Elephas maximus indicus: one gene and its partner. The protein of the gene in region 1 interacts with the protein of each later gene in a biochemical or structural test. Links are inferred from orthologs where the notes say so. Each region holds a gene or a part of one and is shown on either strand. Other genes may lie near its edges.

Region 1 (6,823 bases):
TTCCTTCATACATTCCCAAAAGAGCAATCTCTCCTCCCCACCACATCTTCCTCCTTTGGTTTATAATCAAAAACTCCTGGTTTTGAAAAGCATTTCACTACTCAGCACCTAAGGTTAAGTTAATCAAAAGTCAAGATCTAGAAATCTCTTTGGTCTATGTCTCTGGAGCAGAATTCTTGGAACCAGACTGCCCCCACAGCTGTAATTACACCTTAACCAGTATTGGGATATGGAAGGGCTGTTGACACTGCTGTCACTCTCCTCATGCCTCATCCTCCTTTTTTCCTCTATTATTAAGCTTTTACGCAAAGATGTGTGGGAAATCTACAGTTTAACAGTTGAGTCAACTTGTAAGGTCTGGGAGCAGGTTGCCTGTCAAAACAGACTCTGACTTCAATCTTCACCCACTTCTAACTGAGAAAGATAAATTATGCTCATGAAAACCCACTAGACTCCGTGTGTCATTTAAACATTGTTATATTTTTCCTTTCAAAACTATTCAAAAGTGAAAAAGCCAACTCTCTTTCCCCGATTTTTACAAAAGAACCCGAACTGCCATCTAAAAGCAGACTAGAGGGTAGTTTTGTGTGTCTATTACACATACATGGAGCAGAAGTTGAGAGCTTTTGTTCTGAAGGTCTATACAACATTCTCTCCATCCAAGAGAATGAACAGCCAGTGTCCCCAAACTGCGGATGGGTGACAGCAGATGGCGTCTCAGAGGGGATAGAAAACTCTCCTGGAAAGCATGTCTGTCACTTCCTCAAGGGTACAGGTTAACTGTGGTCAAACTGTATTCACTCAACTCTGTTCCTCAAGGTCAGAGCCACAGACAAGACAAACATTCCCTCTCCCTTTCCCGGTTCCAAGTATGGAAAGAAGGGTCTAAGGCACAGACACCAACACTTCCGAGACACACATCTACTCCCTCTACAACACCCAGCATGAGAAAACCATCAAGAGCCCACAGCAACGGCTAATCATAAAAACCAAAGAAATCTGAAAGAGTTCAGGCTAGCGGAAAGCTCTCCCCAAAAGAGAGGATGGAAGCAACAAGAAAACCATTTCAGAGACCTTAAAATCTGGGAATTGCTCATGCTTGCCCTCTACAGCCCCAAAGTGCCAGGTTTTTATTATATCTGATTATATATTCCAACAGTCTGCCCATAACTCATATCTGAGTTTTGTATTTAACAGCTGAAATACTGCCAGCTGTGCGGGTGGAGGGGAAAGAGAAAAATATAACACAGGAAGTATTTTCTCCTCCTCCAATCATTAACACGGCCCAGGGGAAATAGACCTGGTGTGTCACCTTTAGAGATGTGGTTTGACCTGAAACCCCTCTGAGGGAGAACACCTACTTTTTGGTGACCCTTGAACGACTGGCTCACACTGTCTGGGGACCCACCCCAACTCATCAGACCTCCAAGTCCATTCTATTTACCTTCCGAAGTGTTCTCCCCTACCACGCCCCCTCAAAAAATAAAAAAAAAATGAAAGGCTGGGTTTCCCCAGCCCAAGGCTGACGCTCGCTCCTACTGTCCATCTCCACGGCTAAAGAGGCCACCTCCGAGTCGCGGAATCAGCACGGAGCCAAGCCCAGGTTTACAGATTCGGTTTAGGAAGATCGATGGAGCCATGGAAACAGCAGACACCCGCCGGAGCCTGCTGGCCTCCCATCTGGAGCCGCACAAGCACCGGAGGTAGGAGGGGGCCTGCTCTAGGATCAAAACAATCCCTCCCCCGCGCCGGGGGACGGTATCCCCGCGGAATCTCCAGCCTTGCCCCGGCGGGCCAGCGCGCCCCGAGGCGGCACGGCCGCGCTCGCGAGGCCCAGGGAAGTGAAATCACACATTCCGGCTCCCAAATAAGGAGCGAGGCTAAATAAACCTCAGAGATCCGACTTCTCCAAACCAACCGACCAACCAGCTCAATGAGTAATGGGCCTTCTGTGCCCGCAGAAAGACAGAAAGGAGGGAGGAGAGGATGGGGAGCCACGGCCTCCGAAAATCACTTCCTAGAGACGGGGTTAAGCACAATTGGTCCCAAAGCCAACCGTCCCGATTCGGCAGGATCCCGCTCAAACCCCAAAATGGCAGAGTCCGCACGAGTCGTCTCGAGTCCCCGCCACTCGCGCCCCGAGGTGACCGGAAGCCCGGCTGGGCCGGCAGCGGGTCAGATCCGACCTGACCTTCCCGGCTCGGCTCCCCGGAGCCGCGCACTTGGCACCACTCGGGCACCCCGGCCGCCCCGCTGCGGCCACTCACCCCGCCGGCGCCGGACGCCCCCGAAGGGTCAGCAGATGAAGTGAAGGCGACTCCTCGCCCCCGCCGCCCGGAGAGCAGGGGGTCGTCCCGGGAGCGCCCCTTCTCCCTCCCCTCCCCCCGGCCCTAAACCTACTTTTAGGGCGAATTTCTCCTGGGTCCGCTTGTTGAAGATCTGCAAAACTTTCCCGTTGATCCCCAGCCCCAGGACCTGGGTGGTGACCTTGTAGTCGTCGGTGATGGCGTTCTTCTTGATCTGCAGGCTCGACTTGACGTGGAACTGCGGGAACTGCGGCGGGGGCTGCAGCGGCGGCTGGGCCGGGGGGTGCGGCGGAGCCGGGGCGGGGGGCTGCGGCGGCGGCGGCGGGGCGGGGAACAGCACCGGAGGAGTCTGGCCTTGGGAGTTGGACAGCATGGTGCCCGGAGACGCGGGCGCAGGGGCCGGAGGGCCCGCGGCCGCCCCCTCCTCCGGCTCCGGACCGGGTCCCCGCCACCCCCCGCCCGGCTGGAAAGTTTGCTCCGGGCTGGAGCCGGCTTCCCCGCCCCGGCTCGGCTCCAGGCTCGGCGGGTCGCGGGGCTCCGTGGGTCCCGCCGTCCGCCGCTGGCGCCCACCGGCCCTCGTCCCTCCCCCCGGGGGCCTGGCGCTCGGTGGAACGCGGGACGGCGGGGGCCGGCCGGGGGGAAGCGGCCGCGCGACAATGTACCCAGCCCGGGCCGGCGGCCGCGTCACAGCCTCGTCTGCGTCCGGGGCTGGCCCTTAAAGGGGAGGGCCGGGGGCGGGGCTTGGGGAGACGAGGCGGAGCCGGGAAGCGTGGGTGTCTTAAAGGGGAGGACGCGAGGCGCCTGCAGCGTGGTGGGCCGCGCCAGTGGCTGGGAGGCGCGAGACGAAAAGGGGAGATTTTAGTTCTTCCCCGGTACCACACAAAGGGAAAGGGGTGGTGGAGGAAAGCAGCTACATAATTCAGATGGAAAATCCACTTTTCTCCAACCGTCTGGGTCTTTTAGAACAGCAGCAGCGAATTGGAGGAGGGGGTATGTTTTGAAGGAGAAGGGATGGCAAGTGTGAGCTTGATAGGCGCTCAGGAGTTTGTTGAAATCACTGGGGCCGTTCATCCTAGAAACACGTGTGATACTAATATTAGATATTTACTTAATTGAACAGTTCCCTCGTTTACCTATGAGTTTTGGATTTATTTCCTCATACATGTATTGTTTTTCATATGAATTTAAAAGGATGCGGGATGGGAAGAGGATGGGTCGAGATCCAGATCACCTGAAATCAGGTGAGCCTTTACAATTGCCTGGCTGCATGATCAGAGAAAGACAGACTTTGCCCCTCTCTCTCGGTGGAAAGAGTAGTGACGCCTTTCTCATGGGCTTGTGGAGAGTATCAGGTAAGATCATGGAGAAAAGGGAGAGTCTGGGGAATAGGTTCTGATTTCCAACGTGGAAAATGTTTTTCCTGAACCTACAGGCATAAGAAGAAGCAGGCGTTTCTGAACAAGCCTAGTTCTGGCCCAGGGTAGCCCCATGTATCTGAAGAAGATGCCAGCGAGCTAGGGGGTCCCATAGCATAGCCTGGATCAGGGCAATGAGTGGGAGGCCCTGAATATAAGCTGCCAGGAGGCCTGGGCATGCATTCTGGTGGGGCCTGGGCATGACTATCAAATGCATCCCTGCTGACCTCCTCCCCTCTCCGACTAGTAGGGCAGTTGAGAAGTAAGACACAAAACCTCAGCTTAATTACTCGTGGGCCAAATTAGAGAATGTGGCTTGACCTATGGCCACCATCGCCCCTATTATGTCCCTCCACAAGTCCAGAGCCCCCTGTCAGGGGAAACTCAGCTTAGGGAGAAGCAGAGAACTTCCTGAGGACCAGGCTTTTGAGGAGGGAGCCCAGGAGAGGAAGGCACAAGTACCAGTGACTCCTCCCTCCCTCACCTTTCCCAGAAGACATTTCTCCCGCTGGGAGGCCAGAGTGAGGGGGTGGAGGGAAGGGCAGGAGTCGCTGTCTGGCTCTGTCCCTCCTGAGACAGGAGGGCTTGCTCTACAAACCAAGGAGCACATTCATTCTTTTTAAGGAGCACTTATTTAGTGCTGACTGTGTACATGGTACCATGCAGTGATGGATGGTGTTAACAATTTTGAGGGTAAGGAGACACAGACATGTACTAGATATCTTTAGAGAGGCACAGACCCAGCCCCGGGAGCTGAAGGAGTAGCGATCCTCTGTCTGGGGTAGCAGGGAGCTTCCTCCTGTGCTGTAAGGACGGGTAGGGTTAGACACCTCCCCTGAGCTCCCTGACTCTTCAAAGACAAAGAGGCTACCCAAAACCACAGGGGTTGGAAAACACCTCCACCTCCCCAGTTCTAATGTATTGCTATCACCTGAGGCAGGCTTGGGAGATCCCCCAAAGAATTAGGGTCACAAGGATGGGGGGAGAAAGGCTCCGTCTGATCAATTTCTTTCTCAGGTAGAGGGGTCACTGGTCTGGGGCTGTTCAGGGCTCCGGGTTGGCCTTTTTCTCTCTGCAGAGGAGTAGGGGACAGGGCTTCCCCTTGCTTGGCATTGCACTTGACTGGCTTCTCTCACAAGGCTAGGAAGAGTATAGCTCCTGGTGCTCTTTCAGAGGCAGCAAGGCATAGTGGAAAGAGAATAGAAATCAGAGACAAATGACCCGAATTCACGCCTGTCCTCCAGCTGAGTTATCTTGAACAAGCCATTTAATGTCTCTTTATGTCTAGAAAATGAAGAAAATAATAAAATCTGCTTTCAGGGTTGAGTGAGAATCCACTGAGATAGTGCACATGAGAACCCTTCATAAACTGTAAACTAAATTATCATGAAGTGTTAAATATTATCATTATTTGTATATTGCTGGCCTTGCTCCCCTGTGCTGAGCCCACTGCCTAAGGGTCTGTCCCTGATATCAAAGCCGCCTTCCTATCTAGCTGGGGCTCTGGGGAGATGCTAAAGCCTGATGACCTAGGAATAACATGACAACTGGAATCCTCATGGAGTTGAGAAGTAAGGCAGATTAGCCCTAGAGCGGCATGCAGGACTCTAAGGACACATAGACAGTGCACAGAGATTACATATACTACACACGCAGCCCCAGAAAACACACACATGTATGTGCCTACCTGAAAACCAAAACTAGATCCATTGACCTCAAGTCAATATCAGCTCATGGCAATCCTAGTGTTACAGAATAAAACTGCTCCGTAGAGTTTTCTTAGCTGTAATTGTTACTGAAACAGATTACAGCAGTACTGCTGGGTGGGTTCAAACTACCAACCTTTAGATTAGTAGTCAAATCCAGATGATTTGCACCACCCAGGGACATTTAACAAAAAAAAATGCCTAAATGGATGAATAACTGAGGAGCGAGCTGGGCTAAAGGAAGAAGCACTAGGCAAGGGAACCAGAGTCCATTGTGGTATTAACTAGCTATATGACCTCAAGAACATACCTTACCCTCTTAGTTCCCTCTTCTCATCTGTAAAATAGTGATAATAACATCTGCCCTGCCTACCTTGGAGGGTATCTTAGTCATCTAGGACTGCTATAACAGAAATACCACAAGTGGATGGCTTTAACAAAAGATGCTTATTCTCTCACAGTCCAGTAGGCTAGAAGTCAAAATTCAGGGCACTGGCTCCAGAGGAAGGCTTTCTGTCTCTGTAGGCTCTTGGAAGGTCCTTGTCATCAGTCTTCCCTTGGTCTGGGAGCATCTCATCACAGGAACCTCAGGTCCAAAGGATGCGTTCTGCTACCGGAGCTGCTGTCTTGGTGGTATGAGGTCCCTGTGTCTCTCTGCTTGCTTTTCTCTTTTATATCTCAAAAGAGATTGGCTTAAAACACTAATCTTGTAGATCTCATCAGTATAACTGCCACTAATCCTGGTGGCGTAGTGGTTAAGTGCTATGGCTGCTAACCAAAAGGTCAGCAGTTTGAATCCGCCAGGCGCTCCTTGGAAACTCTATGGGCAGTTCTACTCTGTCCTACAGGGTCTCTATGAGTTGGAATCGACTTGACGGCAGTGGGTTTGGTTTGGTTTGGTTTGGTTTGGTTTAATCCATCTTATTAACATCATAGCGTTAGGATTTACAACACATAGGAAAATCACATCAGATGACAAAATGGTAAACAGTCATACAATACTGGGAAGTATGACCTAACCAAGTTGACAGATACTTTTGGGGGACACAGTTCAACCCATGACAGAGGGTTATTGTAAGGATAAAATAAAATAGTTTCCCATAGGGCACAAAGAAGTCCAAAGTCCTACTTATATAATAGCAAGCTTTCAGCTGCCTGTAATGAGCTACTTAATAAACAGTTTTTATGGATTTATAAAAACTTCAAGGGTTAAAAGTCTATGCCAATAGAAAGTACTGTTTTTATCTACAGTTGACAAGCAAACAGACGCTGTGCAAGATAGTACACAGACAATGTAAGCAGCTCAGGTACACAGAATGGATTACTTATAATCATTGATTCATGACGTCGCCTCATCACTGGATCGGTGGCCCTTGTGCCTCCACTTTTATGTAGT
Region 2 (7,428 bases), on another chromosome or scaffold:
TACTTATAACAATAATTATTCCATTGTTTCCAATATTACAAAAGGAGAAAGAAAAATACAAGGGGAGCAGACGACCCAATATATATAAATACTATAAAATCTATTAGAATAAATAAAGTCGTCATAAATAAAAGACCCATTGGCTTGGGCGGGGGGGTGGCAACGGCTTTGGCTGCTTGCTTTTGGAGAGAAATTTGAGCACCAGGATTCCCTCTCAGGGGAGGCTCCACTAACCCCCAGGCGTTGGGACCTCAGGTCTAGGAAAATTGGGAGGGGGCAGTGGGGGCCTATTATTCACAGCACATGAGATTCTAAGAGACCGATTTGGGCAGGGGAGAGCTGGGGACCCCACTGCCTCCCTCCAATATGCTACATCTTGTCTTTAAAGAACCCAGCAAACACTCCATCTCCCACACCATAAACACTGTCCAGCTGGCACACTGGGGACCTGCCCCAGGGCAGGGTCAGAAGAGTGGGTTAATGCATCTGGGAAGGTGAAGGGGGCTACTTGATCAAGGGCTCCCCCAGTTCCCCACAGCCCCAGGGCCCTTTGTGGCGTCCACAGCATGAGAAATGGACCCCCTCTGTGATCCAGCTGATCTGTACTAGGGAGGACTTGTCACTCAGAAACGGAAATGCGATTGAAGATGGGGAGTCGGCGGGGGGCTGCAGGCGGCTGGGGTGGCCCAAAAACCCCCGTCTCGAAGACAGGTGAGTCAGAGCCCCCCAGACTGCTGCCGCTGCTGGCATAGTCGTCAGGGTCGGATCCCAAGGAGTGTGCAGAGGGGCTCCGAGCCAGGCCACCCAAGGGTCCCCAGAGACTGGGAGTTGCTCTTCGACAGGAGGGGCAACAGGTTGGGGTGGGGTCCCTTCGGGGCACAGGGGTCCCAGGGGCAGCAGAGAAAGCAGAGGGCGAGAGTGGGAGGTCCCCAGGCGGTGGTGGCGGGGAGCTGGAGGGCGAGAAGGAGCAGGAGGACAGGGAAGGGCCCGGCAGGCCCGCTGGTGGTGGTGAAGCCCGGCGGCCGGAGGGCAGGCCAGAGAAGCTGACGCTCTGGCGCAACACGTGGGGGTGCCCAGGGGTGGCCAAGTCCTCGCTGGGGTTGTGGATGAAGTGGCAGCGCGAGCCGTAGGGGCAGCGGCCCTGGAGGTAGAACTTGTGGCAGAGTTCCGTCTTGTACTTGGGGTGGCGATTGGCCTGGCGCAGCTCACTCAGGCCATGGGCAAACTGACACTTAGCCCCGTAGCGGCAGCGCCCGCTCTCAGAGAAGGTCCGACACAGCTCAGTCTTGTAGCGGGACGAGGTGGCCGGGGTTGCAGTAGGCGAGGTGGGTGAGGGTGACAACTCAGGGCCTGGGCGTGGAGCCAGGGGTGCGAAGCCTGGGGGTGGTGGCACCCAGGCGCAGGCGCGGCCCTCCACCAAGCTGGTGGAGCGGCCGGGCAGGCGGGGGACCACGCCGGCAGGGCTGCAATCGGATGAGCTCCAGGGTCCTGAGGAGGGCCATCCCAGGCTGGACTCAGTGCCTCCGCGGGTTGTCCCTGCCAGGTCAGGACTCAGCGACAGGAGGCTCTGTGGGAATGGGGGCGGTTAAGACACCGAAAATGGAGGGTGACGCTCCGCCCCAGCTTCAGGGCAAGGCACCTTAAGAGCCTGCCCTGCCCGCCCGGTTTGTGGGTTTGTGGGCTCTGACTTGAGCCCCACCCGCCCGCAGAAACCCGGGGTTTCGCGATTCCAGGAATCTCGATTTGGAGGCTTGGAGTTTATCCACGACTGAAGCCTACCCCGGGGCACCCGGGAATTTGGGCTCTCCGATCCCGGGCACAGAGGGGGCCCCAAAGTCAGGGCACACCACTGTCCCCCAATTTTGAGCCTCTGGGACTCCGCGGATCTGACCCATGCCTCCTAGATCGCCAGTATGATAACTGGAAGATCCTGTCAAAGTTAACCCCGGAGTCCGGATCCCTTTGGTTCAGTTCTGAGAGCCTTCCCCTGGACAGGGAGGGAGGCAGGCAAGGAACAGAGGTCGGCTTCCCCCTCCAGACTCTTGCCCCTGAACCGCCTACGCGCAAAAGCGCGCCCTCAGCAACTCCTAGGGGTAAGCCAGGTTCGGGGGCCGTTTCCGCCTCTAGACAGCCCTCGTCGGAGAAAAATCCTCCGGCTTTCTATCTCCAGGGTCACCGCACCCATATTGGGGACGAGATCCGGGAGTCCCGGGCTTCATTTTCGCCTCCAGAGAATCGCACTGGTCTGAGAAGAAAGGCAGGGACCCCGTGCCGGAGTGGGTGGCACTAAGGAGCCTCAGTTTGAGAAGGGAGCCAGGGTCTCCGGGCCGGAGTTTGCGGCGCTAAGGAGCGCTAGTTTGAAAGGGGGTGGCCGCTGCGGGGGCTCACCTCGTAGATAGCAGTGAGATCCATGGCGGAGCTGGGGGCCGGTCAGCTGAGGGCTCGGCCGAGAGTAGAAGAGATGGAGTCAGAGGCTGCGTTGGGGCTGGAGGGCCACCCTCTTATAGACAGAGGGTGGGGCTAATCGGGGCGGGGCCGGGGCGGGGGGCGGGATCAGGAGGGCGCTTCCCGGACGCGCGCCCCCGGCGCGGGCCGCGCCAGTCCTGGACTAGTCCCCTTCCGCCCGGCCCACAGTCGGGGGGTGCGTGGGGTGCGGAGTGTCGGCCCAGTTTTCAAGATTGGAGACTGAGGCGCGAAGAAGGGAGCAGGGGCGGAGGCGGGTCAGAGGTCCACGGGGAATTGACAAGGGAACAGACAGACAAAAGAGAGGGTGTGCGTGCGTGCGTGAGTGCGGGACAGACATGGAGAGAGAGACATATACAGGATGAAACACACCGAGAGAGGGGAGGTGGGGAGACAGAAAACATCATGAGAGACAGTCTCAGAGAGAAGTTTAGAATGAGAAGCAGGATGGAGAGATTCGTACAAAGAGACAGAGAAAAACAGTGATAAACGCACGAAGAGGGAGACAGAAACTCCAAGGGGCAAAACGGGGAAATGGGCGCAGTAGGCTGGAAGCGAGTTCTCTTCCCAGACCTGCCCTTGGCACTCTTCCAAGCAACACAGATCCGGAGACCTGGACCGACCGCCCTCCCGCCCCCACTCGCGGGTTGGTTGTGTGGGTGGCCCGGCTACCTGGCCAGGCTGGAAAGGGGCCTCCTTTCTCAATTCAGCAGGGCCCCTGTAGCCCCTCGTCTTCGCGAAGCTGATGACGATTCTAGGTCACTTCTGGGCTGGGCACTCTTCTAAGTACTTTATATACCTTCACTTTATCACTGCTATGAGTCAACCAGGTATTAATATGCTCATTTTACACAAGTGGAAACTTGTGTAAAAGAGAGGCACAGAGTTAAAGTTACTCCCTTTGCTACCCAGCTATACTAAGCGGCAGCGGCCCAAATATCAGTACCTTAAGTTATATTTACAGGTTTGCTCTCTGAGCAAATCCTGAAGACAGAAAGGGGGAAGAGATCTTTTGTTATGATGGAGGGTTGCCTTGATTGAAAGTGGTTTTGAGATTGGAGAAATGAGTCATCCCCAGCTGATGTGTGGATGAGGTTTATCATGGTGTTGGCCTCAAGAACTCCAACTATGCTGAGGATCATTCCCCACATTGGCAAGTCTCTTATTGTCAGGCGGATGTCCTGAGTGAAAACTCTCTTAAGATATGGGAAGAAAGCTTGTTCTTTAAGGGGGTTGTGGACCTGGGAACATTGGTTAAGCACTCGCGGGCTAACAGAAAGGTTGGCTGTTCCAAGCCACCAGCTGCCAAGCAGGAGAAAAATGTGGCAGTCTGCTTCTGTAAAGATTACAGCCTTGGAAACTCTATGGGGCAGTCAGAATCGACTGGAAGGCAATGGGTAGGGCCCTAGGCGCAAACTGGAGAGGGAGAGGGGTGAGGCGGTAAGAAACCATTGTCACTGAGGGGTTATAATGACGGAAAATTCATTCTTGCAGACTGCGGCAGCGGGCTTGCACTGAGGTGGGGAGATTGTGCCAGACTCCGCGGCGATTTGCTCCTCGGAGCACGGGGGGAATCCCTGGTGCAGCGCATTCTGGGGCCCAGGGGCCTTCCCAGGCCGGTCTCGTGAACTGAGCGGCCGCGGGCGGCTCTGGCACGGTTGCGGCCTCCCGCTTGCCCGTGACTCACTTGCAAGGGGCGGGGGAGAGGGGGCTTCCTGGAAGCCGTGACGAGGAGGCTCGGGCCGGACGCCCGGGTTCCTCTCTTGTAACCAGGGCTTCTGTCTTCTGTAAACAGAGCCTACAAAACAACGGGAAATGGGGTGGTGGTGCCTCGGGCCCCCTCCCAGGGGGACTCCAAATCCCGGTGCCGCTAACAGGACTACGGCTGGAGAACATGGGTGGGGGCACCCTGGGGTCTCCGGGGCCCAGCTAGACGCTGGCCGAGGTCCTAGAGTAGGAATCCCGTTCCGATTCCCTGGAAAAAAGGAGCATTTCCCATCCCTGAGTCAGGCTGACCCTCCCTCCCTTCCCCCATCTGCTGAGTCATCCGCCAGAGAGCCGGGACGCTTGGGACCGGGCCAAAAAGACTTAAGGGGGGGACCTTGCGGGCGGACAGACTGACCCCCCGCACCCCGAACACGGACCTGTGGGGCTCAGGGGTCGGGATCTCAGCCCCTCCTCGCGAAAGAAGAGTTCAGGTTCTCAAGCAGCCTCCTCCCCCAGACCCAGGAGTCCCGGCCCCCTGTCCCCTTCTCCCCCAAGCCTGGAAGTTCGGGCCTCCAGCCCCCTCCTCCCCAAGACCCAGGAATTCGGACCCCCAGGCCCCTCCGGGCTCAGACTCAGGAGTCTGGGCTCCCAGCCCCCGCCCCCACCCCCACCCCCACCCCCGGGGGTCAGGCGTCCCAGCCCAGGAGGAAGTTCACGTTGGACTCCTCCCCGCTCCCGACGTAGCCAGCGGGAAAATCCGCGGCCCCAGCGGCGGCGGCCGGGAATCCCCTTTGGAATGATGTTGGGGAAGGGGACGGCCGGGGTCCCCCGCCAAGGCGCTGGGGGCAGGTCCTGAGCGGCTAGGGGAGAGGGGTAGGGGCGGAAACCAGAGAGGCTAAAAATACAGCAAACACTTCCGGCCTAGGGGGAGGGGAGCGGGGAGCAGAGTTTCCAGAAAAACAAGCGGGGACGGGAAACGCGGGGGTGTGAGAGCCGTTGTGAGCGCGCGGGCGGGCGGCCGGGCCGGCGGGCGGGCGAGCTGGGGGCCGCGTACTCGCAGCACGTGTGTGTGCCTGTGGCGTGTGTGCGCCCGGCGGGACTGACTGGGTGTGAGTCCAGTGTGCCTGGGGGACGGGCTGGCTGTCTGCGCCTGGGTGTGCGACTGCGTGGGGGAGAGGGAGCGTGGGACCTGTGTGTGTGTGTGCGCGCGCGCGCGCGCGCGCGGCAGTGTGAACAGCGTGTGCGCTGCAGGTGCGAAGGCGTGTGCCCCGGCATGACCGGCTGTGTGAGACCGAGGGTGGAAGGTGCATGAGACGTGACTGTGTGTGTGAATAAGTGTGCCAAACTGCCTATGCCTGTGCGGTTGACCATATTGTGCATATTTTAACCCTCTGTGGGTGTGGGAACTCTATGTGCATCTGGCTTTGAGGTGGCAGTCATGACAACGTGTGACTGACAGGAGTTTTGCTTGTACATCTGTGTATAGCTGTATGCCATGGCAGGATCTGGAGTGGCTGAGGGTGTGTGTAACTCCGTGAAGATGCCTGGGCGCGGGTGTGTGCCCTCTGGTGTGACTAGAGGTGCTCTCAGCCTTGTAGAACTATGTACAACTGTGTGTGCCCCACATGGGGGCCTCAACTGTGTGAGGGTGTGATGGGCTGTGCACACACAACTTTGTGTGTAAGCTCACCCATCTGCGTGTGTGTGGTTGTGGCAGTTTTGTGTGTAATCACCAGGTGTGTGAACAGTGCTCACATGCGTCTGTGGCCTTATTTGTTGGTGTCACAGATTGCGTGTGCATTAGAATATGGTAGGCCAGTGTCTGGATGTGGTTCCCCTGTGGCCCCGTCACAAGGCAGTGAAACTGGTGAACTTGGTTCCTGACGTCTGCAGCGCGCGTGATGGGGAGGCGGCTGGCGGGGGCCCCCCTCCCTGTTGTTGTTGGTGTGTCTGCCTTCGTGGGCAGAGCAGACGCACACACACCAGCACCTGAGAAGTCACGGCAGCGTCTGTGTTCGGCCTTATCTATGCCCAGCGACACTGCCTCTGATAGTGTTGGGCTGAGGGCAGGGCTGAGTCAGCCTGTGATGGGCAAAGTCTGCGATGGGGTGACAGATAGCGGGTTAAGTGCTGGGTAGAGGGTTGTTTGTGTATTCATGGCATTGGATTATTTCTTCAGAGAGTTTGTGGTGCAGCCACTGTGACAGGGTCCCTGGGGACACCGCGCTTGTAGGATGGTAGATCATGGTATCCTCTGTTGGGATGGGGTGTATCCCCCACGGTCTTTTCCCTACAGGAGTGGCTGTGTATCTCACATACACCCTTCCCTGGAGTGTGTGGTTGTGCACCGGACTCGGTCTAATAACCTAGTAAGAACAAAGTTCTCCCCAAGTCCCTCCATGATCTGCTTCGACTTCCTGTCCTATTCCCACCCCCTCACTGTGGCCCAGGTCGTCTTGCTGTTCAATAAACACAACAGCACATCCCTACCTCAGGGCCTTTGCACTTGCTGTTCCCTCTCTGTGGAATGCCCTTGCCCCACATGCTCACATGACTTATTCCCACTTCAAGTCTTTGCTCCAGTATTGCCTCAGTGAGGCTTTCCTTAATTTGTGTCAAAGGTTAAAAAAAAAAAACTTTCCTTTTTTAGATAATAATCTTGTGTATCTATATTTTAAAAAAACTCATTGTCATCGAGTCAATTCTGACTCATAGCCACCCTATAGGACAGAATAAAACTGCGCCATTAGGGTTTCCAAGGAGTGGCTGGTGGATTGGAACTGCTGACCTTTTGATTAGCAGCTGAGCTCTTAACCACCGCATGCGCTGCCAGGGCTCTATCTTATCTATAAACCGGTTGCCATAGCGGCCTTATAGGACAGAGTAGAACTGCCCCACAGGGTTTCCAAGGAGTGCCTGGTGGATTTGAACTGCTGACCTTTTGATTAGCCGCTGTAGCTCTTAACCATTACACCACTGTGGTTTCCATCTTATCTATATAACATAATAAATACAAGAAAATACAGGTAACATCCGTTCGTACACCATAGTAATTAATATCCGTGAAACCCCTACCCAACCTAAGCTCTTCAACTTTAATGGTTTTCAACGGCTTAATAATTTTCCTCTTGTGTTTCTTGCCTTAGACTTATTCCTAAGTACCAAGTTTTTTGCTGTTATAAATCTCTACTTCTGATCTCACTCCTCTGCCTTATTTTTCTTCTTGGAGCATCTCGCTATCAGATAACACGTTCTACT

The links. The genes of interacting proteins can lie anywhere in the genome.
Region 2: of the proteins of MAPKAPK2 (region 1) and ZFP36, one has a biochemical effect on the other in vitro, tested with the Homo sapiens proteins (2 studies listed by BioGRID). The link is inferred for Elephas maximus indicus from reciprocal best matches to the Homo sapiens genes MAPKAPK2 and ZFP36.

What each region holds. Positions count from the first base shown.
Region 1 is NC_064836.1:16,408,358-16,415,180, reverse strand, and holds the start of MAPKAPK2 (MAP kinase-activated protein kinase 2), read right to left. Parts: upstream 3,009-6,823; 5' UTR 2,680-3,008; coding exon 2,401-2,679; intron 1-2,400. UniProt on the Homo sapiens protein: Stress-activated serine/threonine-protein kinase involved in cytokine production, endocytosis, reorganization of the cytoskeleton, cell migration, cell cycle control, chromatin remodeling, DNA damage response and transcriptional regulation.
Region 2 is NC_064829.1:112,055,020-112,062,447, forward strand, and holds ZFP36 (mRNA decay activator protein ZFP36), read right to left. Parts: upstream 2,487-7,428; 5' UTR 2,413-2,486; coding exon 2,389-2,412; intron 1,568-2,388; coding exon 620-1,567; 3' UTR 515-619; downstream 1-514. UniProt on the Homo sapiens protein: Zinc-finger RNA-binding protein that destabilizes several cytoplasmic AU-rich element (ARE)-containing mRNA transcripts by promoting their poly(A) tail removal or deadenylation, and hence provide a mechanism for attenuating protein synthesis.